Linked DNA regions of Notamacropus eugenii. The protein of the gene in region 2 interacts with the protein of the main gene of each other region in a biochemical or structural test. Links are inferred from orthologs where the notes say so. Each region holds a gene or a part of one and is shown on either strand. Other genes may lie near its edges.

The links.
Region 1: of the proteins of RANGAP1 (region 2) and USPL1, one has a biochemical effect on the other in vitro, tested with the Homo sapiens proteins (2 studies listed by BioGRID). The link is inferred for Notamacropus eugenii from reciprocal best matches to the Homo sapiens genes RANGAP1 and USPL1.
Region 3: the proteins of RANGAP1 (region 2) and E3 SUMO-protein ligase RanBP2-like form a complex in vitro, tested with the Homo sapiens proteins (5 studies listed by BioGRID and IntAct, with this or other methods). The link is inferred for Notamacropus eugenii from reciprocal best matches to the Homo sapiens genes RANGAP1 and RANBP2.

The regions. Positions count from the first base shown.
Region 1 is NC_092876.1:199,237,224-199,247,959, forward strand, and holds the start of USPL1 (SUMO-specific isopeptidase USPL1), read left to right. Parts: upstream 1-5,667; 5' UTR 5,668-5,904; intron 5,905-6,050; exon of another isoform or gene 6,051-7,783; 5' UTR 7,784-7,858; coding exon 7,859-7,957; intron 7,958-8,466; coding exon 8,467-8,595; intron 8,596-9,828; coding exon 9,829-10,483; intron 10,484-10,736. UniProt on the Homo sapiens protein: SUMO-specific isopeptidase involved in protein desumoylation. Specifically binds SUMO proteins with a higher affinity for SUMO2 and SUMO3 which it cleaves more efficiently. Also able to process full-length SUMO proteins to their mature forms.
Region 2 is NC_092874.1:300,351,825-300,362,475, reverse strand, and holds the start of RANGAP1 (ran GTPase-activating protein 1), read left to right. Parts: upstream 1-5,658; 5' UTR 5,659-5,771; intron 5,772-5,960; exon of another isoform or gene 5,961-6,093; intron 6,094-6,974; exon of another isoform or gene 6,975-7,053; intron 7,054-8,252; exon of another isoform or gene 8,253-8,385; intron 8,386-8,522; exon of another isoform or gene 8,523-8,525; 5' UTR 8,526-8,559; coding exon 8,560-8,671; intron 8,672-10,651. Other genes in the region: uncharacterized protein, read right to left, coding at 4,289-4,295. UniProt on the Homo sapiens protein: GTPase activator for RAN. Converts cytoplasmic GTP-bound RAN to GDP-bound RAN, which is essential for RAN-mediated nuclear import and export. Mediates dissociation of cargo from nuclear export complexes containing XPO1, RAN and RANBP2 after nuclear export.
Region 3 is NC_092877.1:204,447,025-204,457,575, reverse strand, and holds the start of E3 SUMO-protein ligase RanBP2-like, read right to left. Parts: upstream 4,041-10,551; 5' UTR 232-4,040; coding exon 160-231; intron 1-159. UniProt on the Homo sapiens protein: E3 SUMO-protein ligase which facilitates SUMO1 and SUMO2 conjugation by UBE2I. Involved in transport factor (Ran-GTP, karyopherin)-mediated protein import via the F-G repeat-containing domain which acts as a docking site for substrates.

The DNA.
Region 1 (10,736 bases), on a different chromosome or scaffold from region 2:
GGCTCTAAATTTGGACTAAAGGCAATCTAAGGGAATAGTTTAAAGATGTAATCTCTGAGCACTTCCCTTAGGTATCTACTATTTCTTCCTATCTGCCTCTAAGAATTATTGTCTTCAAGCCTGAGCTTTATAAAGCACAATCCTCACCACCACATAAAACCTCACCAACATAAGACCTTTCCTGAGCTCTCCTACTGCTAGTGCCCTCTTCCTCAAACTAAATTGCATCTTAATAGTTTGTTTTTATTTGCACTTATTTTTATATTTAACATGTATTTACTTTTTAGCTGAAGAAATAAATCTGAGGGAGAAATAGGATAGCATGTGCCAGATGCGTCAAAGCACTGCGGCCACTACATCCCTTCATGCCCTCCATCCCAAAAGCCCCATGAACAGCAGTGACCTCGACCTCCTGCTTCTAGGTGGTACCCAAAGTCACAGTCCAAGGGCAGCAACCCTTGGGGAGATGAAATTTACAAAGGCCCCTGCCAGTGCTATAGACAAGGGTCCTAAGGCAAAAAAGTCACTTGGCACTGGCAAAAGGTCCCATATCAGAAACAGATATAGTGTTATCAATGGGAGTGGCATTAAAGAAGATACATTATCATCTCCTATGTCTATTATCTTCCTCATTAGAAAATAAGCTCCTTCTGCTCTTACCACAGAACTTTGAACCTAGTAAGCACTTAATTCTTTTAAATTCACTTACAGCTTATAGTCTTCCCATTAGAAGCTCCCAGAGTAGAGAGCTTCTTATTTATATCCCTGTGCTTAGCACCATACCTTGTACATAATAGATACTGAACAAATGTTTAATAGACAAGAAAAATGAAGTAGGCAGTAAGTGAAAACAAGACTTCTATTTGTGTTTCAATGGGTTCCTCCTTTAGTTTCTATTTAATAAAAACATCATTTTGTTGTCCTTCCATCTGGGCCCATGCTAAAAAGAATTATCAGATGATATAGAAGAAGCAAGGCTAATGGTGGTGGTGCATTGCAATTCAGGGTGCTCTTGTGCACTGGGTATTGGGCTATCTCTACCAGTTCCAGGTAGACACTTAAATCCAAAGGTGTGCTATTTCCTTCAAAATAGATCTAGTTCATCATCCATGCCATCAATGATTCCACAGAAAAGATCCTAAGAATGTGAATGGAAATGTCAGTTGGCAGACAATAATTTCTACCTTTTCCCTTCTCCAGTAGAGGCTTACCTAACCTAGTCTAAGGTGATAGATGACTTCAAGAAAATATGACGTTGAGAGAAAACACTTGCAGGGTTATCAGTTCCTTGGGAAGGGTGGGAAGAAACCTATGATTTTTTTTTTGTTACAGGGAAATACAGAAAGAAGACTCTTCTTACAGCAAGTTAATGCCTCCTCTTTAATTTATAATCTTAGAAATTACCTTGGGGCACCAAAAAATTAACTTGTGCAGGGTTTTACAGTCAGTATATGTCAGAGGCAGGACATGAACCCAGTTCTTCCTGACTCCCATGACAGAACTCTAACCACTCATTCTAATGTTGTCTCATTTCCTTTTGTTGTTATTCAGTCACTTTTCAGTTGTGTGTGACTCTCCACGACCCCATTTGGGGTTTTCTTGGCAAAAATACTGGAGTGATTTGCCATTTTCTTCTCTAGCTCTTTTCACTGATGAGGAAACTGAGGCAGAATTCAGTGACTTGCCCAGGGTCACACAGCTAGTAAGGATCTGATGTTGGATTTGAATTCAGGTCTTCCTGACTCCAGGATTGGTGCTCTATCCATTGTGTCACTTAACTGCCCTTATTTCCATATAATATTATAAATGAGTGATTGCAAATGAGCCACAATAGACTTATCAATTAACAGATTATTTATTAGGCCTAATACTATGTGCCAGGCCTTGGGCTAAGCACTGGTGATATAAAGGCAAAAACCCCAAAAGCTTCCACGTTGTAGAAGTTTGCATACAATGGAAGTAACAGCATATAAATATAAATAAATATACACACACACACCCCACAAGGTAAAAAGAAAGTTAATCTCAGAGTGGAAGGGTTTTTGTAGAAGGCAACACCTGAACTGAGTCCTGAAGGTTCAAGTCAGGGATATGAAGTAGAGGTATGGAAGTGTGGCTAAAATATATCAATGATATTTTAAAATGTTATTGATTGGAAAGGAATCTATCAACTTAACACTTCCAGCTCCTGATAAAGGAAGAAAAATGAAACCTACTAAAACAGGGTTTGAAGCATTTGTATTTGCTCTTGTTCCCTCCCCCTTCCCTTCCCACATGTATCAAGCTTGTCATATCTTTACATTTCCATGTTTTTATTTGTAAATTAGAGATAATAGAACAAATTTGCTATAGGGTAACTATGATGGAAAAAGCAAAAACTGTAAATTACTCTGCAAATATAAATATTGGATGTGTAGTAAGCGATAAAGTGTTGGTTTTTGAATGATGAAGATCTGAGTTCAAGTCCTAACCACAAGTCCGAACTATGGACAAGTCGCTTAACTTCTCAGTACTCAGTTCTTAATTCCTTTTGGTTCATCTTAATTTATATCAAGGAAAGGAATTTTACCAACAGGAATTGGCTATGCCAATGAAATAGAATCAAAGCAGAACAGCTTTAGAGTTGGAAGAGCCCTCTCACTGAGTCTGTGAGAAGTTAAATGACTTGCCAAGGTCACACAGGTAACAAATAGCAAAGCTGGGATCAGAACCCAGTTTTTTAACTCTAAATCCAACACTTTAAAAGACCACAAAAAAGTTGGATATTTTGCTACAATTCAGTCTGCACAGTTTTTTCTAGTTTTAAAGAACTATAATGTAACTTAATTAGTAAACCAATTAGGAAGGCAAGATTTAGTTCTATTTTTTTCAGGCTGTTAAATCAGCACTCAGTGCACGTTTATTATGACAAATATATTGTGTTCCAGTTTAAGGATAGTAATATCAGTAATGAATAAGGATCCTCTAAATAAATAGAGGTAGATAGTTATTTAAACAGGAAAAAGGACTGATAAAAACCCAGTGTGAAGAGAGATCAGGAAGGCTCCCAGCATTTTGGATAGGCATCTCTTTCCCTTCATAGGAGGACATGGATTTGGAGGAGTGTAAAACAAGATAGGCAGGCATGTACAGATTGCAATCTGTGTCTCTGGAAGGAAAATATATACTATGAAATCCCAGATCCACTGGAATAATGATGATTCAATATGGTCTAACCAATTTTCTTCTACCTGGAGAATTTATACTGATTCTTAACTGAAAATGAGTCAATAAATTAGTGAATGAATCTTCCACTAATGTAGAGAAACAAAAGCAAATCACTTTTACTTTGGGGGCTAGGGAAATAACTCCCTGAAAGTTTCTTGTTCATTAATATTAAGAAAATTTTTAGTAAAAAAAAATAACTTATAAATCTATATCCCAAAGAAATCAAAGGAAGAAAAGGACCTATATATACAAAAATATTTATAGTAGCTCTTTTCAAGGTGGCAAAGAATTAGAAACTGACAGGTTCCTCATCAAGAAGAAATGGTATACGTATGTGATAGAACACTATTATGCTGTAAGACATGATGAAGGGGATGGTTTCAGAGAAATCTGGGAAGACTTACTTGTATGAAGTGATGCACAGTGACCTGTGCAGAACCAGGAGAACAATTTATACAATAACAATGTTGTAAAGAAACAATTTTGAGAGGCTTAGAAAATGAATAACAATGACTAACTTCAGTACAGGATGAAACATACTATGCACCTTCAGATGGAAAGATGGACTCAGAGTGCAAACTAAGGCATATGTATATACGTGCGTGTGTGTGTATATATATATATATATATATATATATATATATATATATATATATATATACATATATATATATATATATATAAATATATACATACCCACACATATGACAATGCTAATATGGAAATTTGTTTTCACTATACATATTCATAATGTTTTGTTTTCCTTGCTTTTAGGTGGGGGGAGAGAATTCAGAACTGAAAATAAAAGTGAATTAAAACATATAACAGAAACATTAAGTCACAGATCTACTGGAATGATAATGCAACCTAACCAATTTTCTCTTACCTAGAGAACTTGTACTGAGTCTTAAATGAAAATGAATTAATGACTATCTACTTCTAAAGTGGGTAAACAAAAACTAAACCCAACTTTTCAGCGCGAGAGCGAGAATTAACTACTTAATGGTTTTTTGTTCATTGATGTTAAGAAAATTTTTAGTAAATATCAGGGATTTTTTTAATAAAAGGAATAGTTTAACGTGAAATTAGTTTAAAAACATTTTATTAATAATTTAACAGAAACCTAAGTCCTCCGTTTTTTTTAACGTAATAGACAAAGTGGGGGGCAACCTTTTCCCTTTAAAATTAGGAATTCTTAACTTGCTTTTAAAATATTTTGATTCAGTCAATGCATATTTCCTAACAGTCTATCATGTAGAAAGGTAATGTGATAAGTCCCTTGTTCTGAAATAACTTGGTCTAATAGAGGAAAAAGCACACCTATATTATGTATAAACTATATGAATAGGATAAATTGGAAATGAAAAAGAGGGAAAGCCCTCCACTTGAGGAGGACGAAGAATCAATACAATTGGTTTCCTTTGTAATCCTACGTATTTTTGTGCCTTTAAGAACATCATTCCGAAAAGGGACCAACAGGCTTCCCCCAGGGGTCCACCACACAAACACAGCTAAGAATTCACGTGAAAATGATCCATCTGACCTTTCAGTTCAAGGAGAGCTAACAAAAGTTGATTTTGGAAAAAACAAAAAACCAACCAAGCCCCGAACGACGATCGGGATGGTTTCTAAACTCAGTTAAAACCACCTCTAGAAGGACGCGAATGGGCAGAACCGCCAACTTGTTCTCCCACGGAAGGCACGAGGCCGGTCCTGCGGGGAGGACCAGTGGATGCGGCCGCCCTCGGGACGGGAAAGGCGGTTTCCAAAAGGCCGGGGGGCCGTCGGGATCCACCCGGGCCCAGTGCCCTTCTGTGGGAGAGCGTCTGGACACGAACAGTACCCGCTAGGTTCTGCCCAATGCAGGGCGGCGAACGCGCCCTCGCAGATCCAGTCCTCCCCAGGCTCGGGGCAGGGACACCAGGGTTCTGGGCTTACCGGGAGCCGCCGCAAAGCCCGCCGGGAAGGAGGGAGGGGACGGGAGGACGGCCAGGAGCGTGGGGGTGGGGAAGGTCAGGGTCTCTGGGACGTCGAGGTCTCCGGCAATGGCACGCCTCAACGTGCGCCCGAATGAGGCCCACTGTGTCAGCAGTACACCCACAACAGGCCCGAGCTCCCTGGAGACCCAGCTCCATCGCGCTCTCGTGGGGAGGTCAAGGGTCGCCAGGAAAAAACCCCAACAAAACTCGAGGCCCTCCAGCGGAGGGCTGGAGTCGGCCTCTTTCTAAGGACTACATAATCCCTCCGCCGCGGGCAGCGCAGCGGCTCTAATCACCCTCCGCGCCGCCCTCCTCCTCGGCCGCTTTAGCGTTATTTCCAGCGGATTCCGACGACGTGACTCTCTCCTAGCTGAGACGCCCACACTGGGCGTCGGACTCTTCCACCACCGGCCCCGCCCCCAGGCGCAGCCCCGCCGGAAGTGCTCTAGTGATAGCTCCGCGCTTCTGCCCCGCCCCCGCTGCGGCTGGGCTGGCTGGGACCGGAACGAGATTTCGTGAGCGTGGCGGGGCTGAGGGGGAAGCATTTGTAGGGACACGAGCAGGAAGAAGCTGTCCTCCTGGAGGAGGAGCGGCCCAGGGGGAAAAACGTGAGTTGAACGTTTCCTCAGGCCGCGCGACGCTCGAGCTGGAGGCTGAGCCGGAGCCGGAGCCGGCGTGGGAATGGTCCCGGGGCGCGCACGGCGGGCACGAGCATCAGGTGAGGGGACTGGAGGGCTCTGTCTGTCCCTGTCCGAATGAGTGGGGAGGGAAACCGGGAAAGGGGGAGGGGGCCCGAGCTTACGGTGTTGCGCGCCACCGGCTGGAGGCTGGGGCGAGGAGGGGCCGAGGGAGGTTCAGGTGGGGCGCTGGGGTAGGTTTCGTATACCAGAGGTAAATCCTGAAGAGAAACCAGAGTTGTGTCCCTTCCTGAGGTGGGTGATGCCACCAACCCCTCCCCCACCTGGGTTCCCCTTGAACCGCACGTCGGCCGGGGGAGGTGGGGCGTGTTCATGGGCTTGGGGGTCTTCCCTGGATTCCCTTCGGTTCTGTGGCGCCTCCATCCAGATCTGGTAGCGGCAGCAGAATGGTCCCCGGTGCCCGTAGAGCTGGTCTGTGGGACTGCGTGTCACCTGCGGGAATGAGGGGCAGTGGACTCGAGCCGGGTTCTGTCAGGCTGCCCTGGGGGTTGGGGGGGACTGAGCTCGAGGCCCGGCTTGGCCCATCCCTGCTTAAGAACATATAAGGTCACCAGTCTTTGGTTTGGTGATTGGGTCAGTTTGCATTAAGTGATGCAGTCATTCATTCAGCCTAGGCTTAGACCCGGATAAAAACCACCCGACGTGATTGGCTGCCCAGGTCTTTAAAAAAATCTTAAGTATTAGCCCTGATTGTTCTGGGATGCGCAGGTTCTCCATTATAGAACGTAATCACCACTGGCTTTTAGTAATTCAGCCTATTGTTAGTTTAACTTAATTATATAAAGGAATCTTCAAGAAAAATAAAGGATCACTTGCTTAGATTTAGCTGATATGTTGACTTTAACATATAAGAAGGCTTTTTTTTCAGGGTAGGCAGAGGACGATTTTCCTTAAGAATAGGTCTCCTTTGTGAATTGTAAGTCAGTTTAGGTACCTTCCAAAAATTTACTTTTTCTCCCTAAGTTTAGGGTATGAATTATCTATATTGAAACAAAGCAAGAAAATATATGGAACTGATTTGGCTTGCTTAATATTGAGATGAGTGGAGGGAGAAGGTGTCATTTAGACTTGCATTTAGGCCAAAGTAATTTCCTTAAGTGTCCACGATGTCGAAGATAGGAGTTGAAATTCACTTTGACGTTGAATTATTTTGACACTTATATTTTGAAATCTTTTCTACTCAGGGGATTTTGAAGATACTACTGGAACAGTGCTATTCAGAGTTTGGGAACTGCTAAGGATACTCCTTAGGGTTCCCTCCTGGCTGCCTGCATAAAATCTGTATTATATGTATTTGTTTGTCATATAATTTACGTAGGTTACTTAGCAACAACAACAAAAAACTAAATATTTCATTCTTGTCCCAGAAAAACAGTGCTATTAAACTGGAGCAAATCTTAACGACAAATAAAGTGGGAACAAGAACTCTATACATTCCTCCCCATCCAAAAATTGAAAACAGTTACAGAATCGTTTTAAAACATATTCCCAGCATAGTTCTAGCATACTCATTTCATTTTGTTACTAGAATTAAACAGTGCCTATCCTCAAACTCCATTTAATATAGCTTGCCTTTTTTGCTAAATGATAAAGCTCTTTTAAAGGTTAAATAGTATTTAAGATGTATACTGTTGGAAATGATCCTGAGAGGAAGGGGAGAAGAACTTGTTCCAGATCCACCAGAAAAAAAAATTTGTTTAACTAATGTGACTAGTGAATGTAAAAGATATGTGTCAATTTTAATACTTTTTTTTTTCAAATTGTGATTTAGGTAATAATTTCACAGACATTTTATCACAAGATATCACTTAATTTTCAACATATACTTAGCATGAACTTTTTCTAAAATCAAATGGATTGGATTTTGACTTAACTGCCTGTTGACTTTTTTTTTTCCAGGGTTCATTGAAAGATCCTTAGTGATATTGACTAAGGACATATTGACAAGTTACATAAATTAGCCAATGACTCGGAATGATGGATTCCCAGAAGATTGGAAATGGTTTGCCAGTGATTGGACAAGACACTGGTATAGGGATATCTTCACTCCACATGGTGGGGTATTTGGGAAAAGTCAGTGAGCTTGTTTTCCACTCTGTGCAAAGTTGTTTTTTTCTTCTGTTTTTGATCCATTAACTAATTTGGTTTTTATTTTTACCAAATAACATTTTTTTATATAAATTATACTTCCCACGGAAATCTTACAGCAATGGCGAAAGATTATTTCCATATATTTACCTTTGTTTCATTGACATAAGAACGTGTTTATTTTAACTTCATAAAACTTATGGTTTACCTTAAAAATCATGGAATCTGTTCATTGTTGATATCACTTTTTCTTTGCAAATAAAAATGATGCAGTTTAATACAAAAACCTTTTAAAACTACAATGATGTTATTTTTTCACCGACAATTTAAATGTTAAATCCTTATATTCATTTCTTTTGTTTGCCATGTTAAAAAATTATTGCTAGTGTAACTGCTAGTATGAGAATGGAAAAGATTTTCTAATGTATTTCTACTTCTTTTTTTGATACTAAGTAGGAATACATACATGTTACATTGTTTTATTTCTTTCTCAGAAGTGTGATTCAGCTAAAGTTACACCAGATGGGTACTGTCCAGCCTGTAGAGAGAACGGAAAGATCAAAACTTTAAAGTCTTATCGAATCAGTTTTCAAGAATCTATCTCTTTGTGTGAAGATCCACAGGTAATGAATTAATTTTTAGAATTTTGCTAAGTAGAACTCATGTATTTGGAAGCAATAGGTAACCTACCTTATTTGAACTTTTCTGTTAACTGACTGTTAACATTATTAAGTCCTACTGTGTCCCATATGTTGTATTACTTACTGGGGATACAAAGGTACAAATGAAGTAACTTTTATAAGTGATTTTGATAGTAAAAGTTTTTGAATGGCCTTCAGGAATATCCATGAAAGTATATCATAGTAATTTATACCTGTGTAGTTCACGAAGTCATGGATAATTGTTTCTAGTTCTCTAGTGTAGGGGGAAAAAAACATGTTTTCTATGAAGTGATAAGTAATGTTTATATGCTTACATTCTAGAAACTGTGCTGATAAACTGGATGAAAAAGAACTCCTAAAATAATGAACCTATAGAAGAGAAAAATAAATCTTTGCATTTTTGCAAACAAATACTTTTCAGTTTTTCATTCTATTTTAATTTTATTCTGAATCATGTTAATTTTTTGTCACATGTATACCATACATTTTAAGACCTGGCAAGTCTTTGCTGAGGAATTATTTGAAATTCATGTTTTATTAAAATTGTGTTAATGCACTATAGAAAAATTGTTCACTGTATCAAGATAGAAAATAAGTAGAATATCTTTGAAGGCAATGGGAAAATAGTTGATGTGGGTATGGATCAGCCATAGCATGTAATCAGAGTTAATTTGTGCTCCAGAAATTGTATAAAAGACATTAGCAAGGATGTGTATAACCAGAAAGGGAGGTGGTCTGGGTATATGTCAAGAATCAGAAACAAATAGACAGCTTAAGTATAGTTAGTACCCCTTAGATAATAAGAGAGCAAGATGAAGACCTCTGGCATAATCCTTAAAGGGAAAAGCACAGATAAGAATCCCTGAGAAGGAGAATGAACTCTTCATCTATGAGAGTACTCACACTGAAGAAATTGCTTTTTCTCTTGGAGTACTCTTGGTCTTCAGATTTGTTTACTTTTTTAGTCCCCTCTCCTGTTCCCCAAGAGTACCACACTATTCTGTGAGGCTTTTTAAAAAGAAAAATTAAAACTGTTGATTGTTTTTTGCATTATCTTTATGTTAGCTATTTAAAGCAGGAAAGGATGTGCTTTTCCTTCTCTGTATTCCTGAATAAGACTATAGTTAAGATAATTAAGCTTTGTAACTGTTTGCTTTGCATTTTTACCTTTTTTGATTCTCTTTTTCCTCTTAGTGCATCTATCCATTGGGCTATAAGTCACTAGATAACATTATAGTTTCTGTTGATTTGGAAAATTATCAACCTCCCCGTAAGCATCCAAAGAGGAAGATCTTGGAAAGCAGCAGTGTTGCTTCATCTTTGGAACCAAATTCAAAGGAAGATGGCAGCTACACTTTGTTCAACACTGAATGTACTGTGAACAGTGAGCTTGCTCACAGACCTGCTGAATATAATTTGTATAGAACTTCATCAGATTTATCTGTTGTGTTACAAGACTGGGAGCAGAACCCAAGCAGGGCAGCTGAATCTTTGCAGCAGAGTGAGATTTTGGAAGCTGAAATTGCAGACCAGACAGCTGAAGAACATCCTTTGATTGTTGGCTCCCAGACTGAGAGTGTTTCAAAATCTGAAGTGGATGCAGCTAATATAGAAATCCTACTGGAGAATAGATGCCTGCCATTTACTGAATCTACATGTCTTCAGTGGAGAAATGCATATGCTCTCTGTTGGTTAGACTGTATTCTCTCAGCATTAGTGCACTTGGAAGGGTTAAAGGAAGCTGTGACTGAACTATGTTCTAAAGAAGAATCTATATTCCAGCAATTATATACAAAGTATAATCAAGCGAGCCTGCTTTTGACTGCTCATCATTTGAATGGAGCTAAAGGTTGGTGACTGTATTCTTTCTTTTATTTTTAAGTTATCAGAATATTGGTGATGGTTCCATATGCTATAGAGAAGAGTAAACATACCCATTGCCACTCATTTAACACTGATAGGCCCTTTCTTTTTCTTAGGTATCAGTTTTCTTTGCACAGTATTTGCTCTGTCCTTCAAAGTTTGTTTGTTTTTATTGGTGATAAAGATAGAAGAAAAAATGAGAGTTGAATGATTTTAACTTTTCTTGTCTTCTGTTAATA
Region 2 (10,651 bases):
AAAATGGGGTAAAAAGTCTTTCTGGACCTTCACTCCTAAGAGTCTTAGGAGACTCAAATGAGGTCAGACTAAGAGTCGGAGGAGATCCCAGAGGCCATGAATCCATTCGGGACCTAAACCAAGAGCCCCTGGACAACTTCCTTAAATGCACTCATCCAGACTTTGCTTAAGACTTCTCCCAGGGAGAAGAAACCCACCCTCTGTCGAAGGGGCCCATTCTACTTTTGGACAGTTCCAATTGTTAGGAAGTGTTTCCTTATACTGAACCTAAATCTGGCATTATTTAGAACTGGGAGGCACCTTAGAGCTCATCCCGGTCCAATGCCCTCATTTTCAGATGGGCAATCTGAGATTATACTTATCAAAGTCATTATGAAGGTAGTAATTATCAAAACGATTTAGTTCTGACCAAGAAATAGAAAGGTAGATCAGTGGACCAGAGTAGACGTACAATCACAGCAGCAAATGAATATGTATGTGATAAGCATAAAGGCTTGAGTTTTGGGGACAAGAATTCATTATTTGATAAAAATTGTTGGGAAAAGCAGTCTGGTAGAAATTGGGCATAGACCAATATCTTGCCCCATTTACCAAGATAAGATCAAAATGGATGCATGACCCAGATATAAAGAGAGATATTACAAGAAAATTTGAAAAACATGGAACATTTTACTTATCAGACTTATGGATAAGCGAACAATTTATGAAGAGAATGAGGTGTGAAATGGATAATTTCAATTAACTTAAATTTAAAAGGTTTTCTACAAATAAAACCAAATGTAGCCAAGAACTGAGGAAAGCAGAAAGTTGAAGGGAAAAAATTATAGACAGCTTTTCAGATAAAGGTCTCATGTCTCAAACATGTAAAGAACTTTGTCAAATCTATGAGTATGAATCATTCCTCAGCTGATAAATGGACAGAGGATATGAACAGGCAGTTCTCCGATAAAGAAAGCAACACAATTTATAGTTGCAGTTTTAAAAAGTTTTAAATTATTATTGATTAGAGAAATAGAAATTCAAACATTAACTAAACTCATTAGAGCTCGCAGGAACCTCAGCAGCCATCTAGAACAATCCTTTCATTTTGTTTTTAACAGACAAGAAAATTGAGGCAGATGTGTAGTGACTTGTTCAAGGTCATATAGCTAATAAGTATCTGGAGCAGGATTTGAACCAGCGCTTTCCTTTCTCCAAGTAGAGAACCCCATCCAGCGCTTAGCACAGCACCTTGAACACAGTAACACTTATTAAGTGTTTTTTGACAATGATGCCACAATCACTATGCCTCTTGAATTCACTAGCTAGGGTGTCTCATCATCTATGGCCCTTATAAATTACTGCATCTGGGAAACTGGAGTTGGATTCTTTCTTTTTACAGATGAGGAAACAGGTCCAGGTAGGAAAATATTCAATGTCACAACACTAGATAGTAACAGAATGACAGACACCAAGAGAAACATATGTGTCATGGAAATGGCTGCAGGCTGGAGTCAGGACAACTGAGCTCAGGTTTGGGTTCTGGTCTTATTATTAGTTGGTTGACAGGGTGGCTAATTCCTTTCCTGTCTACCTCATAAAGGCTCTGTGAGGATGAAATGAAATATTACATTTAGAGATGGAGAGGACTGTAGAAACCAGTCAGGCACTCCTCATTTTACAACTGAGGTCCAGTTTCTTAGACCTTGTCTAAGGTCACATAGGCGATGTGCCAGAGACAATTCTGGAATGCAGGTCCCCACCTCCCAGCCCACCAAGCTATACGTGTTCAATTCTGAGTATCATGGATTCTGAGAAGATGGGAAGGCTCCAGAGGTCATCCACCAGGATGGGGAAGGGCCTCAGACTCATGCTGTAAGGGGATTAGTTGAAGGAACTGGGGATGCTCACCCTGGAGAAGATTCAAGGGAGATATGAGGGCCAGAGTTCAAATCTGGCCTCAGACACTTAATAGCTGTGTGACCCTGGGAAAGTCACTTCACCCTGTTTGCCTCAGTTTCCTCATCTGTAAAATGAGCTGGAGAAGGAAATGACAAACCACTCTAGTATCTTTACCAAGAAAACCCCAGCTGGGGTCATAAGTCAGAAACAACTAAGCAACAACACAAATCAGGATTTGATTGTTTTTGTTGATTGTCTAGACTTAATAAAAAGATGGATAAAATGTTAATAATGCAAATTAAACTTAAAAGTGTATCTCAGGTTTGTTAGGCTTTTTTTCTTCTTCTGGAGAGCCAGTTGTTAAACATTTTAACAGCACATCTCTGCTTCCCCCTCACTGGGAGTCTTCAAGCAAAGACAGAGAACCACCTCATGTTCCAATGTCATAGAAGAGATTCTTCTTCAGGCACAGCTTGGTCTAATGGCCTGGGAAGCCTCTTGCAGCTCCCAGAGTCTGTGGTCCTGGGAAGTGAGAGGCTCTGTTTGTTCTAAAGAATTTGGATAATTGCTGAAGATACAGCTACCCTGCCCACTGGTGGGTCCCATGACTGTGTAGAAATAGATGGATCCTTCCCCAAGGGGCCCAGAATGTTACTACCCACTTGAAGACCAGGAAATGCAGACCCTAGAGGTAAAGGGAAAGAAGAAGTGCTGACCTCATCATTTAGCCTGGGGACTTCTCTTTGCTTTCCGCCTGGTTCTAAGCCCATTTTGGAGCTTTGTTGTTGCTTTGTTAAGTATTCTATACAATGAAATTGTTTCTGGTCAAGAGCAGAATATGGGAGACATCTGAAACAGTGGAAAGAATTGTGACTCTGAAATCAAAGGACCTGAGTTTGAATCTCACTTCTGTTACTATCAATGTAAGCTTGATAAGTCATGTGATTCCTCTCCTTGTATTTCCTGTAAAATTGAGGGGAAGGGAGTCATACTCCATCAACTGATCAACAAGCATTAATAAATCACTTCTATGTACCAGGTACTGTGCCCAGTGTTGAGGGCACAGCAAAAGCATTTCCTGCCCTCAAAGAGCTTACATCTCCAACAACATACAAACTGCAAATGCTAGACATCACAGTACAAAAAAAATCTCTGTCCAAGATCTAGGCAGTGTAAATGACAGGCTTCAGATCTAAGATTCGGTGACTTTGGGTAAGCTACTACTACCTCCCTGGGTCTATGAGGGGGGCCAGCCTTGATGGCCTCCAAAGTCTCTTCTGGCTGAAGATCTAGGAGCCTGGAAACAGTCAGAGAATGTGACAGTGGCTAAACAGCTTTGTCAAGGACTCATTTCAATCAGTTCAGGTGACTACCCTGTTCCAGAAAGCACGTTCCCTCATTTTGGAATGCCCCTAAATACTCAACTAAATAAACCACCCCAATTTATCTTGTTACTGAAGAAAGTCTTCTTGTGTCTGATGGTAATTTTCAAAAGCAAACCCCTCATTTAGGATATTCTCTCCACTCTTCCATCTCCATGGAAAAGAAACACATGTGAGTGAAATTTCTCTGTAAAGCATTTGCTGGACTGGCCATGTTCCTGACCAGTTGGACCCCATTCAACAGCCCTGGCTTGCTTTTATTTTCTTTCTTTCTTTTCTTTCTTTCTTTCTTTCTTTCGCAACATTCATTTTTGTAAGATTTTGAGTTCCACATTTTTTCTCCCTTCTTTCCTTCCCTTCCCCCTCCCCAATATGGCAAGAAATCTGATGTAGGTTATACGTGTACAATTATATTAAACACATTTCCACATTGTGAAAGAAGAACCAGAACATAAGGGAAAAAACATGAGAAAGAAAAAAAAGAGAAAATAATCTGCTTCAATCTGCATTCAGACTCCACAGTCCTTTCTCTGACTGTGGACAGCATTTTCCATCATGAGCCTTTGGAATTGTCTTGGATCATTATACTGCTGAGAAGATCTAAGTCTATTACAGTTGACCAGAGCACAATGTTGTAACAACCCAATTTTTGACAAACCCATCAAGGCCTTTTCTATCTATTTGGTATCACCAGAGTTTGTACCACTCCACCTCCTTGACAGCAGGTACTATATTTTTGTCTTTCTTTGCTGTTGCCACTGAAATTTCCAGTGTTTGTTGCAGTCTCTGAAACGTAGCAGGCTTAACATGTATTAAGATAAACGTCTTTTTTGAAAATTATGAAAATAATCAATGAACACTAACAATAGTGTAGTCTATGAAAATGAACTTCAGTTACATGTAATTTGTTGGGGTGTTTTGGTTTTTTTAAGTATGTTATCAAATGTAGCTAGGTGGTGCAGTGGATAGAACACTGGGTCTGGAGTCTGGAACATCCGCGTCCAAATCCAGCTTCAGACACTTACCGACCATGCGATCCTCCCCAAGTTACTTAACTCCTCTTTGCCTCCGTTTCGCATCTGTAAAATGCAGATACATTGGAGAAGGAAATGGCAAACCGCTCCAGAATCTTTGACAAGACGCAGGTAACCATCAAACGTAACAAAGTAGCAACAAAATTGCCAGTTTTGTTTCTCCTTTCTCACTTTCCTCTACACTTCGTTAGTGTTTTATCAGTGCTCTATCACCACCCAATAACTCACCTGCCACCAAAAAGAAGCTCCCTCCCCCTTATAACAAGTAAGGAAAACAAATCAACCCCTTGTCCCCAGTTGGCCGTACACAGGCGGTGTCCATCCCATGTCCATCACCGCCAGCCCTCTAAGTCCGAATCAATGCCATCCCAGTTCTGAAGTCTTTCAAAGGCTTTTCCCCCTCTTTTCACTATCATTGTGTAAGTTGTTCACCTGGTTCTGTTCGTTTCTCCGGGTCTCAGTTCACAAGAGTCTTCTCGAACTCCTCCTCTGCCACAGTCCTTATTTCTTTTAACAGTAACCTCCATCACATCACTATGCCACCAGTTGTTCAGTCGTCCCCTATCTTTTTTCTACAGTTGTTGCAATAGTTTTGTAGATTTCAGTCCCTTCCTTCTGGTCTTTGGTCCCCTTGGTCTAGGTCTGGTCTTGGTTCTGAACTGATGGGTCAATGGGTCCGTACAACGGTTCAGTGACTTGGGGGGAGGGGGAAAACAGGATTCCAAACTGCTAGCCTGACCCCAGCTCCACCAACAATGTATTAGCGAGCCTCCCCAACAATCGCCATTTTGTCTTGCCACCTTTGCCAGTCTGACTGCCTCAAGATGGAAGCTCGGGGTGGTTTTCGTGGGCATCTCTTTACTATTAGCGATCAGGGGCATCATCTTCCCCTGGGGGTGGGCCAGCTCCTTCTGACCACGCCCGGAGCAGCTGCGCTCTCCACGTGGCCCCTCCTCCCAGGCTGGGGGCAGCCCCCTCCCAGAGGACGACCCAGAACAGAGCCAAAGCCCCCATCCCTGCTTTAAGGAATTGAAGGCACTAGAGGGAGCCCCGGTGCTGGGGTTTTGTCCGTCCAATTTTAAATAAAGTTGTTGACAGTCTGCCGTTGCCAGGACCGAAAGCGGCGAGGCGCATCTCGGGAATGGTAGTCTCCTCGCCCAGCCCACGAGCCAGTCCGATTCGGGTCGATGATCTCGCGGGAATGGGAAGGGAGGAAAGCCGGTTTGTGGCGCGCACGGCTCTATGGGTAGTGTAGTCAGAAAGCGGTGCGGCTCCTAGGGCGAGCCGAAGGGACGGAACTACACTTCCCGGCTCCCCCGACAAGTTGGAGGAAAAAACGCCCGGCGGAGAGAGCCTGAGCAAATCAGATCGCAGGAAAGAAACTGCCGGCTTTCAAAAATTCTCCCTCGCCGCCATCATCGATCGGCGGCCCCGAGGCGCAGGGGCTGTTTGCGGAGACCGGGGCGAGACGCGTGTGAGTGTGCGTTTGTGCGGGGGAGGCTTGGTGCGCGCGCCCGAGGAGCGGGAGGGAGGGAGCGAGCGAGGAGGGTGGGCGGCCGTCGGTCACCGGCCTATCGTGACGCCGCGTTACGCCACCGCCTCCGCCGCCGTCGCCCGCACGCCCCTCGGCTCCCGCGTTTGATCCCCTCCCCCTTCCCCCCAGCGCGCGGACCCCCCCTTCTCCTCTCCCCCTCCCTCTTCCCGGAGAAGCCTTGCGCGTGCGCAGGAGGGCGTCCAGCGCGAGGTCCGAGGCCGCCGCTGCACGAGGCGCCCGTAGCTCTCCCGCCCGCGCGCACGTAAGTCCGGCGACTCCCGCGGGGCCCCTGCGGGCAGAAAGCGGAGGGAGGAGGGCTGCAGATGGGGAAACTGAGGCCCGGAGGGGGAGCGGCGTAGCGATTCGGAGCATCACGTGGCTCAGCTCCGCTTTTTACAGCGGGGGAAGCTGAGGCCCAGCGCGCAGTCGGGGGGCCGGCCGTTCGGGGGCCGGAGCCTCGGAGGGGGTGGGGAGAGCTCTAGGCTCAAGGAAGAGACCGAGACCAGGGAGGACCCCGCCCCGCTGACCCTCGTCCCAGGTGGTCACATGGTGTAGAGATCAGTGGAGGAGGGGGGACCCAGACCACAGCCCCCACCTTGTACCGGAGAACCCCGGGGCCCGCTTAGGAGGCCTGGCCGAGGTCCTGATATGGGAGGAGACCCCGAGGGGCCCGTCCGAGCCGGACCTGGCCTCCCCGCAGGGCCCCGCACCGCCCCGGCCCACCCACACGCAAGCCCCTGTGGACAGGCCCCCCAGCACCTCGGACAGTGCCTGGGGCCGGCTCTGCTCAGGCCTCCAAGGAGCTGCCTTCCGAGGGTTCCTGCCGCCCACAGCAGGGGAGAAAGGGGCGCCCTGCGGGGGACGTCTCCTCACCTTGCCCTGAGCCCTGGTACTCTGGGAAGGAAGGCGCCTGTGGATGGTTCTCTGAGGGTGAGCCCTCAAGGTGTGCCACAGGGCTTTAGGTAGAAACCCATCCCTTAGGACTGGGCAGAACTTGGAGCTGGAAGGGGGGCCACAGTAAATGTCCCACAACCAGAAATCAGGCCCTGACAGGAACCTGCTGGTCACTGTTCCATAGCTGGGTCTTGGGATTTGAACCCACATCCAATTTTCTCTCTAAAATCTAGCTTTCTTTCCCCACAGACATGTGAATGTTACTGATTACTTCTGTAATCTGAAGCTTTCTGCTTCAGAATCCAATGTTGCCCTAATTTCCACCCAGGTACTCAAACCTCTCCTGCGCCACCTGACCTTCCCTCACCTCAGGATAGAGGTGTCATTTAAAACCCCCATCGGGTTTCTATTTTGTGTCCCCTAGAGAGGGTGGTACCCCAAGACAACAGTTATCTTTCACCAGTCTGTGCCCCCCCCCCATCAAGGCTTTCTACAGGCTTATGCCCTCAACTTGGGGGTTCTTTCTGGGCTGCCCTGCCCTTGGAGGGGGTGGGGTGGTCTTTGTCCCGCAGTAGTAGGCCAGCCTATTGTGATGTAGAGTCTGCTGTCTCCTAGGAGCCCCTGCTTCCTGCCTTTAGCTCTTGATGAGGATAACTGGTTCTGAGTTTGAACCTTCAGTCTTTAGGTGACAATCCCTTTCTTCCCACCTACCCCTTCCCACCACCCTAGACAAGCCAGTGCAGGCACTGGGTTTCTCCCTGGATGGATCGCTTTAATCACTCTGCCCATTTGGGGGAGGGCAGTAGGAGATTGACCCAGGACAGCCAGTCACTAGTCCTGTTTACATTATGTTCTCCTGGATCTGCAGCCCTGCTGACAACTCCAAATTAAGGAAATCCCATGGTTCTGTCCGTTTTGTCCCAGCTGGTAGAGTCAGGGGGCAGCAGGAACTGAGGGCCTGGGAGCAAAGGGCAGAGCTTGTCTGCCTTGCCCTTTCATTGGGTCAGGCCAGACAGAACTCCCCTTTGCCCAGGGTTTCAACCTGTGTAAAAACCTGCTGTTTGAGGCACATCTCAGTAGGAGCTGGATGCTCACATCTGGAAGAGGGGCTGCTGAAGCCTTCCCCAGCAGACAGACCACTGGCCTGCACATGGGGGCCAGATCTGGATCCCTCCTCCTTTCTTCATTTCATTACTACCCTGGGGCCTCCATTACATTGCCCACGAAACAAGGGATTTGGACCCAATGGCCCTCAAGGTCCCTTGGAGCCCTGGGACCATTCGAGAGACTTTTCCCTCTAAATGCTCCCTCTGCACCCAGTCACTTGCGACCGCCCCTTTTCAACCTTACATGGCATAAGTCTGTAATGTGTCATGAGAACATATATTCCAGCCACCAAGTTGGTGTCTCACCCCTCTTGCCAGACACATATTTTGCTGGCAGGGACCAGCTCTTGCCTGTACTTTGGGTTTTCCCTCAGGACTGTACTCAATGTAGTAGGTGCTTAATAAATGTTTCTTGCTTCAGGGAGAGGCTGTGTCTTTCATGTTTAACATCCTCCAGCCCCTGCCCTGGGGACAATATGGCCAAAGCCCTGGCTTTGGGATCTTCCAGCCTGGGCTTCAAACCTGACTTTGCTGTTTCTCAGCTGGGACCTGAGGCAAGCAAACACCCTTATTCTTCCTGTTGATCCCTGGCTTTAGTGAGGCCCTGGAGATCTCACCAAGGCATTATGGGGATTGTGAAATAGCAAACAAGTGGAATGGCTTTGATGATGAGGGATGGTGCCTTTCTCAGCAGCCTGGGGAGGAAGCTTAACAAAGCAGCTGAGACCATGGCATCTGAGGATATTGCCAAGCTCGCCGAAAGCCTGGCCAGAACCCAGGTGGGCGGAGGACAGCTCAGCTTCAAAGGCAAAAGCCTCAAACTCAATACGGCAGAAGATGGTGAGACCCTACCCCTCCCCAACCTTCAACATTGTACCCCCTCAGCCTTCATGGGGTTCCAGGAGGAGCTGGGAGCTAGATATAGCCTAGAATTGGCTTCTTTGGACTCCCTTCTTCCTTCCCCCCACCTTCACTGTAGGGATGACTGCCAGCCTTGCAGGCCCATGCTGTCCCTGGAGATCTCACCCCAGAGAAAACAGGTACTCCTTGGAATGGGCACTGCCACAGCTTCTTAAGCCCTGGGAAGAACCTAGGGATCAGCTGATGGGCTGAATGAGGGAGTTCCTCACTTACTTATACCAGGGGAACTGGTTTGGGCTTGCCCACAAATCCTGCCTGAGTGACTTGGCAAGGTGATTTTGAGAAAGGTATGGCAGAGTGTTTGATTGGGAATAGCAGTGGCCAGGATCTTTACCGTACCCTTTTCCTTGACTCTGTCTGGCATGCACAGCCTGGAGGATCACCATTTCTAGCAGGGCTGACTTCTGATAGACCCAGGAAAGCAAAGGAGATGAAGCCAAGGGCCTGCCAGGGTGGCTTCTTCCTGGCCACAGGCTGGTCATATGGATGCCAGGGCCACTCCAACCTTTATTTATTCAGCAGAACTTGGGCCTAGTTCCAGACTCTGATACTAACTAATGACATCTCTTCCTTTGTGGCTACTAAGCCAGGCACTTAATCTCAATACCCTAAATTGCCACCTCAGCTTCTTTATCATTTTTTTTTAAATAAGGGGTAATTGGAAAATTTTTTTTTGCATAATATTATGTGTACAGTGAGTATCATATTCATGCCTTCTTAATGGGCAGAGGAAAGGCTGGAAGGAGGGAGAGAATTTTGAACTCAAAATAAAATTTAAAAGGGAGTGAGGGGTGGGTGCGAGCCAGCTCCTTAGGTCAGAGATTTAGAACCAGACGGGACCGTCAGGGTGATCTAATTGAAGCCCAGCCCAGACTGCTTGAAGGGTCTGGCCTTGGCTATGGCTAGCAGACTGCAGGCCTGTTTGTGGCTTTGGGCAAGTCATGTAACCTGGGCTGTTACATGGACAGTTTGGTTGAAATGCTGAGTGCAGTCCTCAGAGCACTAAATCTTGGGTCCCCCAGAGGCCTAGAAGCTTCTTTGAGGTTGTCTTCAGCCCAATAAAACTTGGCTTGTTCTCAGCATCCTTTGGCCCAGCAGGGGAGGGATGTCTTGGCTCTCATGACTTTAGGGGAGGCCACCACCTGAAAAGACACATCATTCTTGGGGTTCTTGTCATGTCCCCCCCTGTCACAAGCTCATCTTGGGCACCTGTTTACCTCAGTCCTGGCTTCATGTACTAAGGTCCGCCTCCAGGTGCAGGTAGTATCTGGGCACACTGTGAGAGGTTCCAGATGGTGCTTCTTCCTTAAAGGAAAGAGAGTTGAGCCCTCATACCACAATAGGTGTCAGGGCTGTCTGGATTCTGGGCATGGAATGACTTCCCCAGTCTGTAAAATGGGTACAGTGCCACCATTCCACACAGATGCATGATCTGATTTGTGAGACAGTGGCTCTGCTTCAGGCCCATTTTCCCCTCTGCTAGGCCATGCTTGGTGATCACTGTAAGCTCATGGTTTTATACCTAGTGTATGGCCCAGAGTGAGTGCTCCCTGGCCATAGTCCTGGGGAATCCGCAGCTCAGCTTCAGGGGGCTGGATTTGATGGCCTTTATGAACCAGCCACTGAAGTTGTAATGTTTTATGCTCTATTAAATGGGGATGGCAGTATTTGAACTGTGGACCTCCCAGAATGATGGGGAAGAAAGTGCTTTGTGCCATTGTTATTGGCATCATTGGGCTCAGATAAGTGACCCTTTACACCCTGACTGGAGCTGCTGTGGCTTTGGGGACCAGGGCTCATTCCTGAGGGACAAAGGAAATAGGACAGCAAGTGTTTTCTGTGGAGCTTCCAGGGTCACCAAGTACTTTCCTTACCCATCATGCAGAGCCTTGTGAGATG
Region 3 (10,551 bases), on a different chromosome or scaffold from region 2:
CCCAGGCGGCGCGCGGGCGGCCGGCGGCTCAACGAAGCGCCCTGGGGGAGAGGAGGCGGCGGCGGGGCGGGGGTGCGAGCGAGGGGCCGGAGTCCCGGCTCCCGGCCCGCCGGGCTTCCAGAAGCTGCCTCTGGCTGCGCGGGCCAGCTCGTCGCTTACCTCTCGAGGGGAGGGGGCGGAGCCCTGCACCGAGGCGATGTACCGCTCCACCTCGGCCTTGCTGCGCCTCATCGCGCCTCTCACGCAGTCCGGGGGCTCTCCGGGAGTCCGGCTCGGGGAGCCCGGCAGCGTCGGCCCTACGTCTCCGGGCTCGTTGCGCCTAAAACTCAGTGACGCCGCCACCGTCGCCGGGGCCTAAACGGCGGGCTGACGTCATCTGCGTGTTACGTCAGTGCTGCGCGCCGCGGCGTTGACGGAGGCGATTCCGCCAGGGAATCCCGCCCCGAGGGACTGACTGCTGGACAGGGGACAGCGCGCGGAGGCGGGCTCTGCGTGGGCGCAGCTCGGAGGCCGTCCTTGGACCTGGACGGGTTTGCGTTCTGCCCCTTCCGCCGCCTCCCTGGACTCTGCCCAGCCCCAGCCGGGCCTCGGACGGGGCGGGAGCTCCCTTACCGCGGGCCCAACACGATCGGGGGATGGGAAAGTGCCTTAGAAGAAATAGTGCACGATGACCCCACTTTGTGTAATCGGGGTTACATGGCCGCTTTCTGGAGGATGCAGGAGGCAGGGGGGAATTTGGAACTCCAAAATGTCTAATTGAATGTTAAAAAATATATCATTGAGAAATAGCTCTAACTTTTTTTAATTTTAAAAACAGCGGTAAGGCGGGGTGTGGCTTATATGAAGAGGCCAGGTCTCGTGGGTTCTACCGGGTTCGAACTGGAGGGCACGCAGAACCAGAGAAGGCTGTGTGGACCGCTAGACTGGACCGAAGCCCTCCTCCGGCCTGCCAGGCCAGCTCCAAAGACTCGTGGTGGCCGGTGCTGCCCGGTGCTGCCCACACCCGGAGAAGGAGCTGTGCAGTCGGGCCAGATCGGAGCACACCCTTTCCTCCCTTTGCTGTTTGTTTTCTCCCCTTTGTTCCGATTTTTCTTTCACAACATGACTAATGTGGAAATGTTTAATACGATTGTACGGGTGTAGCCTCTGTCAGACTGCATGCCGTCTTGAGGAAGGGGGGAGACTTCACAACTCAAAATCTTATAAAAGTGAATGTAGAAAACTAAAAGTCATTGTTTAAAAAATTTAACTGTTTCTTTAAAATAGCACTTAAGGGAGTTTTATAGAGCTTTGTAAATAACCCATTTCATCCTCAAAATAACCCTGGGAGATGGGTGTAGCTCTTAAACCCCTTTACAGAGAAGAACCTTGAGGCCCCTCCAGGATCGCACAGCCACAAATTCCTGGGGCAGGGACTTGTTGGAGGGACAATTCACCCAAAGGAATCCGGTTTTATGTGTAGAAAAGCAGTCCTGTGAGTCCGTCCCAGGGATGGTGAGCTGGGGAGGCACTCTGTAGGGTTAAATAGGAGCAAGGGTCCTATTCGTTGTGGCTTACCCTACAAGGAGGTCAGCACAGTGCCCAGCATCTAAAGGACTGGGGGGAAGGGGAAGAAAAAACGAAGGGCCTACAATGTACCAGGCAGTGCGCTTAGCACTTTACTATGCTAAAGACATTTTCACAGTCATATTGCACGGAAGAATTAAAACGAATGGGAGAAACCATGAGAAAAATGAAACCAGAACATAACACATGAGAAAACAGTCTTTCATTCCGCATCCCGATTCCATAGTTCTTTCTCTGAATGTGGATGGTACTGATGCTCACAATAACCCTGGGCCATAGACACTATTATCATTTCCACTTTACAATTGAGGAAATTGGGGGAGACAGAAGTTAAGTGATTTGCTCAGTCATAAAGCTATTAAATGTCTAAGTTTGGATTTGAACCCAAGAACCCAGTGCTCTATGTGTGACACATCGTGTGACACCTTGCTGTAGGCAATGTCTTGCTGACTATACAAATAACTTTTCTACTAATCTAAATTTTTTACCATTGGAGTAATTAATGTAGTTTATAACCCTCCTCTGCTAACCCTAAGTCCCTTTCTCTCCAGAAGATCATAATTGAAATGGACATACTGAGGAAGCCCTTTACCATTAGAATAGATGAGTTTGTTATTATTAGACACCTTGGATCTGGAGAGGACAGAGGAATTTTACTAGTGGGAAAACAAGGCTTGGACAAGTTCAGGACATGGGAGAGAGAGGGAGATTTACTTCAGCACCTGGTTTAGGTCCTCATATTCCAGCAGTTATCGTTACACTAGTAATTTTGCTGACATAGTGAAAAAGACTAGTGAATAAACAGCCATTTCAGAATCTTTGTAAGCCCATTTTTGGGTTTTCTTGACAGATACTGAAGAGATTTGATTTTGTTCAGGTAGTTTTTCGGTCATGTCTGACCCAGCCTGGGTTGATATCCTGCCTCTGATACATCTTGGCTGTGTGACTCTTGAGCAAGTCACTTAAACTCAGTACTCTAGGCCAGAGACGTCAAACACAGCCCACAGGTCCAAACCAGATTAAAATACATTTGGGAATTATTTTTGAAAATAAATGTAAATGCAATAAAACAAAGATAATATTGTATTTTGAAGAACTAAGTTAATTTTCAACCCATGAGGATCCTTCTGCATGGATTAATGATGCCTTTCCATTTAGAATTTAACACCACTGCTCTAAGCAGTTCTCTGAAACAAGGGGTCTTTTTAAAAAAAAAAAATCAATCTATTTGTTTTTAGTTTTCAACAATCACTTCCATAAGTTTTAAATTTTCTGCCCCTTACTCCCCCCTCCCTCCTTGAGATGGCATGCAATCTTATATGAGTTCTACACGTACATTCTTATTAAACACATTTTCACATTAGTTATGTTGCACAGAAGAATTAAAATGAATGGGAGAAACTATGAGAAAAATCAAACCAAAACATAACACATGAGAAAACAGTCTGTTTCATTCTGCATTCCAATTCCATAGTTCTTCACTGGATGTGAATGGTATTTTGCATCAAGAGTCTTTGGGAGGTGGGGGCCACAGCCAAGATGTCAGAGTAGAAGGATGGACCTGCTCTAGCTCTCCCCCCATAGCCCAAAAAATACCTGTTAAAAAAATGACTAAACAAATTCGAGGTGGTTGCTCAGAGATCAGAGCACAGGCCAGGAGAGGAGTAAACTCCTGTCCCTTAATTGTGCCACCTTGGAGAAACTGAGAACTTACTGGTCCCTAGAGATATCTCAGAGAACAGCTACACAAAACCTCTGAAGCCTAGGGTAGTATACTCTCCACTTGGCAAAGGACTCAAAAATCAAGTAACTGGCTGGGGAAACGCCCAAAAAGGGGGTAAAAAATAAGACTATATTACTTTATTATTATTATTATTTACTATATTATTATTATTATTTACTATATTACTTTATTGGTGAAAAGGTATTTTCTTCCATCTTTTTGGATGAGGAAGAACAAAGCATATCATCAGAGGAAGACAGCAAGGTCAAGGCTTCTACATCCAAAACTTCCAAAAAAAAATATGCAATGGGCTCAGACAATGGAAGAGCTCAAAAAGGATTTTGAAAATCAAGTAAGAGAGGTGGAAGAAAAATTGGAAAGAGAAATGGGAGCAATGCAAGAAAATCATGAAAAGTGAGTCAACAGCTTGGTAAGGAGATCCCAAAAAATGCTGAAGAAAAATGGACTAACCCAAATGACAAAAGAGGTCCAAAAAGTCAAGGAGGAGAAGAATGCTTCCTAGAAAAGGAGGTCCAAAAGCTCACTGAAGAAAATAATTCTTTAAAAATTAGAATGGAACAGATGGAAGCTAATGTCTTTATGACAAACCAAGAAATTCTAAAACAAAACCAAAAGAATGAAAGAAATAGAAGACAATGTGAAATATCTTATTGGAAAAACAACTGACCTGGAAAATAGATCCAGGAAAGAGAGTTTAGAAATTGTTGGTCTACCTGAAAACCATGATAAAAAAAAAGAGCCTAGACATCATATTCCAAGAAATTATCAAGGAAAACTGCCCTGATATTGTAGAATCAGAGGGTAAAATAGAAATGGAAAGAATTCACCTGTTACCTCCTGAAAGAGATCCCAAAAGAAAAGCTCCTAGGAATATTGTAGCCAAATTCCAGAGTTATCAGGTTAAGGAGAAAATATTACAAGCAGCCAGAAAGAAACAATTCAAGTATTGTGGAAATATAATCAGGATAACACAGGATTTACTCCTACATGAAAAGATGTTATTTTTAACTCACGGGACCTTTTTCATTAATAGGAAGGGAGAATACCCAAAAAATAAAAATTTACTGTTGAGTGGAATGTATTAGGAGTAAGAGAAAGGTAGAATGTAGCAAATCATCTCACATAAAAGCCGTAAGACAATGGAGGGGAAGAGGAGGGAGGTGAATTAAATGAGCCTCTTGTGGAATTTAGCTTAAGGAGGGAATAACACAATTGGATATGGAAATCTATTTTACCCTGCGGGAAGGGAGAAGGGAAGGGGATAGGAGAGAGGACAGCATTTGGAGGAAAGGGATAATCAGAAGCAAACACTGTTGTGGGAGGACAGGTCAAGGGAGAGAATGGAATAAATGCAGGGCAGGAGAGGACAGAGGGAAATATGGTTAGTCTTTCACAACATAACTATTATGGAAGTGTTTTGCATTGTTACACATGTATGACCTATATTGAGTTGCTTGTTTTCTCAATGAGGGTGGGTTGGGAGGGAGGAAGGGGGAGAACATGGAACTCAAAGCTTTAACAATGAATGTTAAAAATTGTTTTAGCATGCAACTGGAAAATAGATATACAGGCAATGGGGTATAGAAATCTATTTTACCCTACAGGAAAATAGAGGGGAGGGGGATGGAAGAAGGGGGTGGTTATAGAAGGGAGGACAGACTGGAGGAAGGGGTGGATGGGGTGCATGTTGTCCTGGGGTGGGGAGAGATGGAGAGAAAATTTTGAATTCAAATTCTTGTGGAAGTGAATGTTGAGAACTGAAAAATAAAAGATATTAAGAGGAAAAAAAAGAGTCCTTTGGGAATGTTTTAGGTCCTTGCATTGCTATGAAGGGCTAAGTGTATCAGAAGTAGTCTTTGCACACTGTGGCTGTTATTGTGTATCATGTTCTCCTGGTTCTGTTCATTTCACTCAGCATCAATTCATATAAATCCAGGTTTTTCTGAAGTCTGACTGTTTGTCATTTCTTATAGCACAATATTATTCCATTACATTCATATACCACAACTTGTTCAGCCCTTCCCCAGTTGAAGGGCATTCCCTCAATTTCTAGTTCTTGACCACCACAGAAAGAGTTGCTATAAATATTTTTGTACATGTGGGACCTTTTATCATTTTTATGATCTCTTTGGGATACAGCTTTAGAAGCAATATTGCTGGGTCAAAGGGTATGCACATTTTTATAACCCTTTGGACATAGTTCCAAACTGCTCTCCAGAATGACTGGATCAGCTCACAGCTCCACCAGCAATGAATTAGTGTTCCAACTCTCCCACATCTTCTCCAACATTTATCATCTTCTTGTTTTCTCTTGTTAGCCAATCAGATAGGTATGGTGTGGTACCTCAGAATTGTTTTGATTTACATCTCTCTAATCAATAGTGATTTAGAGCATTTTTTCATATGACTATAGATAGCTTTAATTTCTTCCTCTGAAAACTGCCTGTTCATATCCTTTGACCATTTATCAATTGGGGAATGACTTGTTTTCTTGTAAATTTGACTCAGTTCTCTTATATTTTAGAAATGAGGTCTTTATCACAAACATGAAACAAGGGGTATTAATGTGAGGGGTTTTTTATATTTTTAAATGAAAAAACAACTATTTTAATATAATTGATTTCCTACATATTGTACTTTATGTATTTAAAAACATGATTCTGAGAAGGGGTCCACAGACCTCATCAGACTACTCAAAGGATTCCATGATTCAAAAAAAAGGTTAAGAATAGTTCGTATAGAGGAAAAAGAGAAAAGATACAGCCTTAGGCCTAGTAGTTAGTGGGCATTGTGCGAATGAAGATCCAGCAAAGGAGAATAAGAAGAAGAGTCAAACAGGTAGAAGAACCAGGAGAAAATAAAGAAAACCTGGAGAGAAGAGATCATCGAGGGTGTCAAAGAATGATGCTATAAATTGGTTTCATTTAATCGCTTTTTCCATTTTATGAGAGGGTTCCTGGGGATTTTGGGGTGGGTAACGACGGGGAGATGTTAGAGAATACTGGAAAATGACAGTTTTATACAAACAAAGATATCAATATAATGTTAAAATGTAAAAATAAACTAGAGATGACTAGTAACATTGTAATGTAGAAACCCTGCAAAATTTCCCAATAAAATCAGAAGTGAAAAAAAAGATTATTATTATTATTTGACATAGTTCTAGAAGTACTAGCTAGCTAAAGCAATAAGGCTAATTAAGGGAATAAGCACCTGAAAAAAAGGAAAAATTGGCAATTTACTCACAAAATAGTAAAGAATTAAAAACTAGACAGTTCAGCAAAGTAACAAGATATGAAATATCAATAAGACTCTCGTATTAAGGTCCTACTATATGCCCAGCACTATACTAAGTCATAGGGATACAAAAAGAAGCAAAAGACAGTCCCTGCCCTCAAGGAGCTCACAATCTAATGGGGGAGACCACAAGCAAACAAATATGTATAAACAAGCTATATAGATGATAAATAGAAAATAATTAGGAAAGGCACTAGAATTAATAGGAGTTGGGGAAGAATTCCTGTAGAAGAGGGGACCTTAGCTGGGGACTTCAAGGAAAGTGGGAGAACAGTAGTCAGACTGAAGGAGGAACAGCATTCCAGGCAGGGTGGACAGCCAGAGAAAATGCCCAGAGACAGGAGATGGATTGTCCTGTTCATGGATTTTAAGGAAGAAAATAGGTACGAATTTACTATGAGGGAAGCTGTGAAATGCGCCAATTCTTTTAAAAGGCAATTTGGAATGATCAAGATATCACAAAGTTTTTCATACTCTTTTGTCTAATGATCTCATTGTTGGTTTTGTACCCCAAAGAAGCTTTGATATAAAAAATGACCCATCTACACAAAAGAATCTTCATAGCAGCACTATTTCTAACAGCGAAAAGCTCAGAGCAAACTGTGTACATGTGAGAGAACAGCTGAACAAATGAAAAGACACCATAATGCCTCAGAAAGATGGAAATAAGGACTGGATGACAAGCACTATGCTAAGCACTGGGGATACATGTGGATAAGCCAAATAACCCCTCACTCTCAAGGAGTTCATAATCTAATTAGAGGAGAAAAGAGGGGAAATTAAGTCTCAGGAGTTAAGAGGACAAAGGGGCAGAGCAGACAGTAAAGTTTGATAGACCTTAGCAGTTCCAAAGCAGAAGGTCACTCATTAATGACCATTGGGAAGCAGATAGTGAGTGGGATGTGGGCTCTGAATAATCTCAGGGAAGGTTGGTGTTGAGGGTAGGGAAAAGGGGAGGAGGAAACGTCTAAGTCTGAGGGAATATCCATTAGGAACTGAGCAAGGGAGCAGAGGAAAGGAAGGGTTCCCTGAATCTTGTTCCATTTTTTCTCCAAAGAAAAAAGTCCCGCTTGCCCATTTGATGCTGTTTCGTTTCCAGGCAACAAGTTGAAAAACCAGCAAGAGTGGCTGCTGTGGGGGGCTGGAGCCCTTCCCATCCACTGCCCACAAGCCAATGAATGGACACTTGAAAATAATAGCTAGTTATTAGCTATTATGTATAAATATTTTAATTAAATACCATATGAAATAGATATAATAAATTATTTGTGCACTGTAATATGTATCTTAATATATTACATGCACAATTATGATATTGTGAATGTTGTGTGAGATGTAATTATATAAAATAGATAATTATAGATAGAAATGTATACTGTATTAATTACATATAAGATAGAATTATATTCATATATTAATTACATCATATAAACCATATTATTATATAGTTAATACATTGATGTATTAATAACTAACAATTAACTACAGATAATAATAACAGTAGTTAACATTTATATAGTGCCTACTATGTGCTAGGCACTGTGTTAAATGTTCTACAGATTATCTCCTTAGATCCTCATAACCACCCTGACAGGTAGGGGCTTTTATTGTCTCCACTGTACTTGAGAAAATTGAGGCAAACGGGTTAAGTGACTTGTTTGTGGTCACTCAGCCATTAAGTTATATCTGAGGCCAAATTTGAACTCAGATCTTCCTGACTTCGGGTTCCTGGGTCACCCCAGGATGACCCAACAAGAGCAAGAGTAAAATATAAATAGGAAGAATTCGAAGAAATGTGGACAAACTTGTGCCTGGTGATAGAGTGAGGAAAGCAGACACAAAATAACAATATACTCAGCAATTACAACTACATAAAATAGGCCAGGGAAATGGAAACAAAACTCAGATGAAATAAAATGGATACTGTTGCTACTTATTTGTTAAAGTTAGAGGTCACACCCTTCCCTTCAAGTACAGAAATGTAGAAGTATCTAGGTTGTTCAGGGATGACTAACACCTGAGACGTGAGGTGGCCACCTGTGTCTCCAAGAAGCTGTCGGATGCAGAGTAGCCACAGCCTGTACTATCTTGGCAGATGGGCTAACCCAGGTTGAGGTAATAGACAGGTCTCAAACTCATCAGTGAGTTACGGAGATGTCTACCCCAAGCACGTGAAGACTTGCCCTGGCAGAAATGGCAGATCAGAACAATTTGTTTCAATGGCTGGATTTGGATTCAGGAAGAGGAGTCTTTCACAACTCCAGGCCTGGCACTCTATCCATTGAGCCACCTAGCTATTCTTATTTCATCCTTCCTACCTACAAACATGTCCAATCTCCCTAGAGTTAGAACCTACCATCTTCTCAAGCAATAGTCCTATCTTCTCCCTTTTTGGGCCAAACTCCCAGAAAAAATTCTGTCCATTGTCTTAATTTCCTTTCATTCACTTCTGAATCCTTTGCATCCTGGCATTTGACAACATTCAATTAAAATTGCTTTCTTTTCTCATTGACACATTTGGTTGCCTTTTCTCAGTTCTCATCCTTTTTGATTTTGTAGCTTTTGGTACTGTTGTCTACCCTCTACCCTTGAATGCTCTCTCCTTTCCAAGTGTTTTCTCATGGTTCTCCATCTGACTGTTCCTTCTCTAATCCATTTACTGGATTATCATCCATATCATACCCCTAATGGTTGGGTGCACAGACCTCCAATTCTATCTTTTCTTTCTCTGCAAACTCTCCCTTAGTGACCTCATTAGCAACAACAAGTTTAATTATATCTTTGAAGATGACTCAGATTTCTACATTTAGTCCTAATCTTAAAATAACCGGGAGGTATAGTGGATAAAGCACAGGATCTAGAGTTAGGAAGAGCTGAATTCAAATCTTGCCTTGAACAGTTTCTAGTTACGTAACCCTGGGCAAGTCATTTAATCTCTAACCTCTGTCTTGGTTCTATCATCTGTAAAATGAGGATAATAATAACATCTCCCTCCCAATGATGTTGTGCAGATAAGATGATATTTTAAGTGCTTTATAAACCTTAAAGCCATATATACAATATATATGCTAGTCATTATTATCATTATGTTAGACTTTCTCCTAAACTACCATTTTGCCTCAACTACCGCCCGTTGGACATTTTGACTAGAAGCCCCATAGACATCTCAAACTTATCATGTCCAAAACAGAACTCATTATATCAAACCCATTCCCTTCCAAACTTCCCTTTTTCTGTCTGAGGCAATACCGTCCTCTCTGTTGATATGCAAACTCCAGTCATCTCAACTCTCACTATCCCCTCACACAGGACACTAGTCTTCTGTAACCATGTCTTTGTACTGTCTGTCCCCCATGCTTGGAAAACTTTCTCTCCTTATCCCTTCATCTTAGAATCCAAGGATTCCTTAGATATTCATTTCAAGGGCTTCTGGTCCCCCCAGGTGCTAGTGTTTTCCCCTACAAAGTTTCCTTGTTTCTGTTTTATGTCTTCCTAGGTAACAGAAGAAATAGCCAATGAAGGGACAGGCCTTAAAACATTCCAAATATACTTTGCCTGCTATCAACTCACTTGGAAGTTTGTTGAGTCTGTTTTCAGAAGTTCATGGGAGTGGGAGGGTGGGAGTACAGCAATAAGGTCTTTACCCCCATACTTGCTTCAGAGCATATACAGGTATTCTCTATTTGCTATTTCCAATGTTTATTACATTGTGATGAAAAGTCTTGCAAGTGTCTGCTGATTGAGACCTAAGGGTGCATATACAAGCCACAAACAAACAAAAGATTGCACTCTGTTTATAAGCTTTGCATGAGGAGAAAAAATGCTATGAAATTCAAGGTAGCCTCAAATGTGGGGTGCTTAAGTTTCTTCTGTCTCTGATGTTAGATGAATTAATATCAGAGATGGATAACTGTAAGTTTCAGACCAATTTAACTAACATTTAG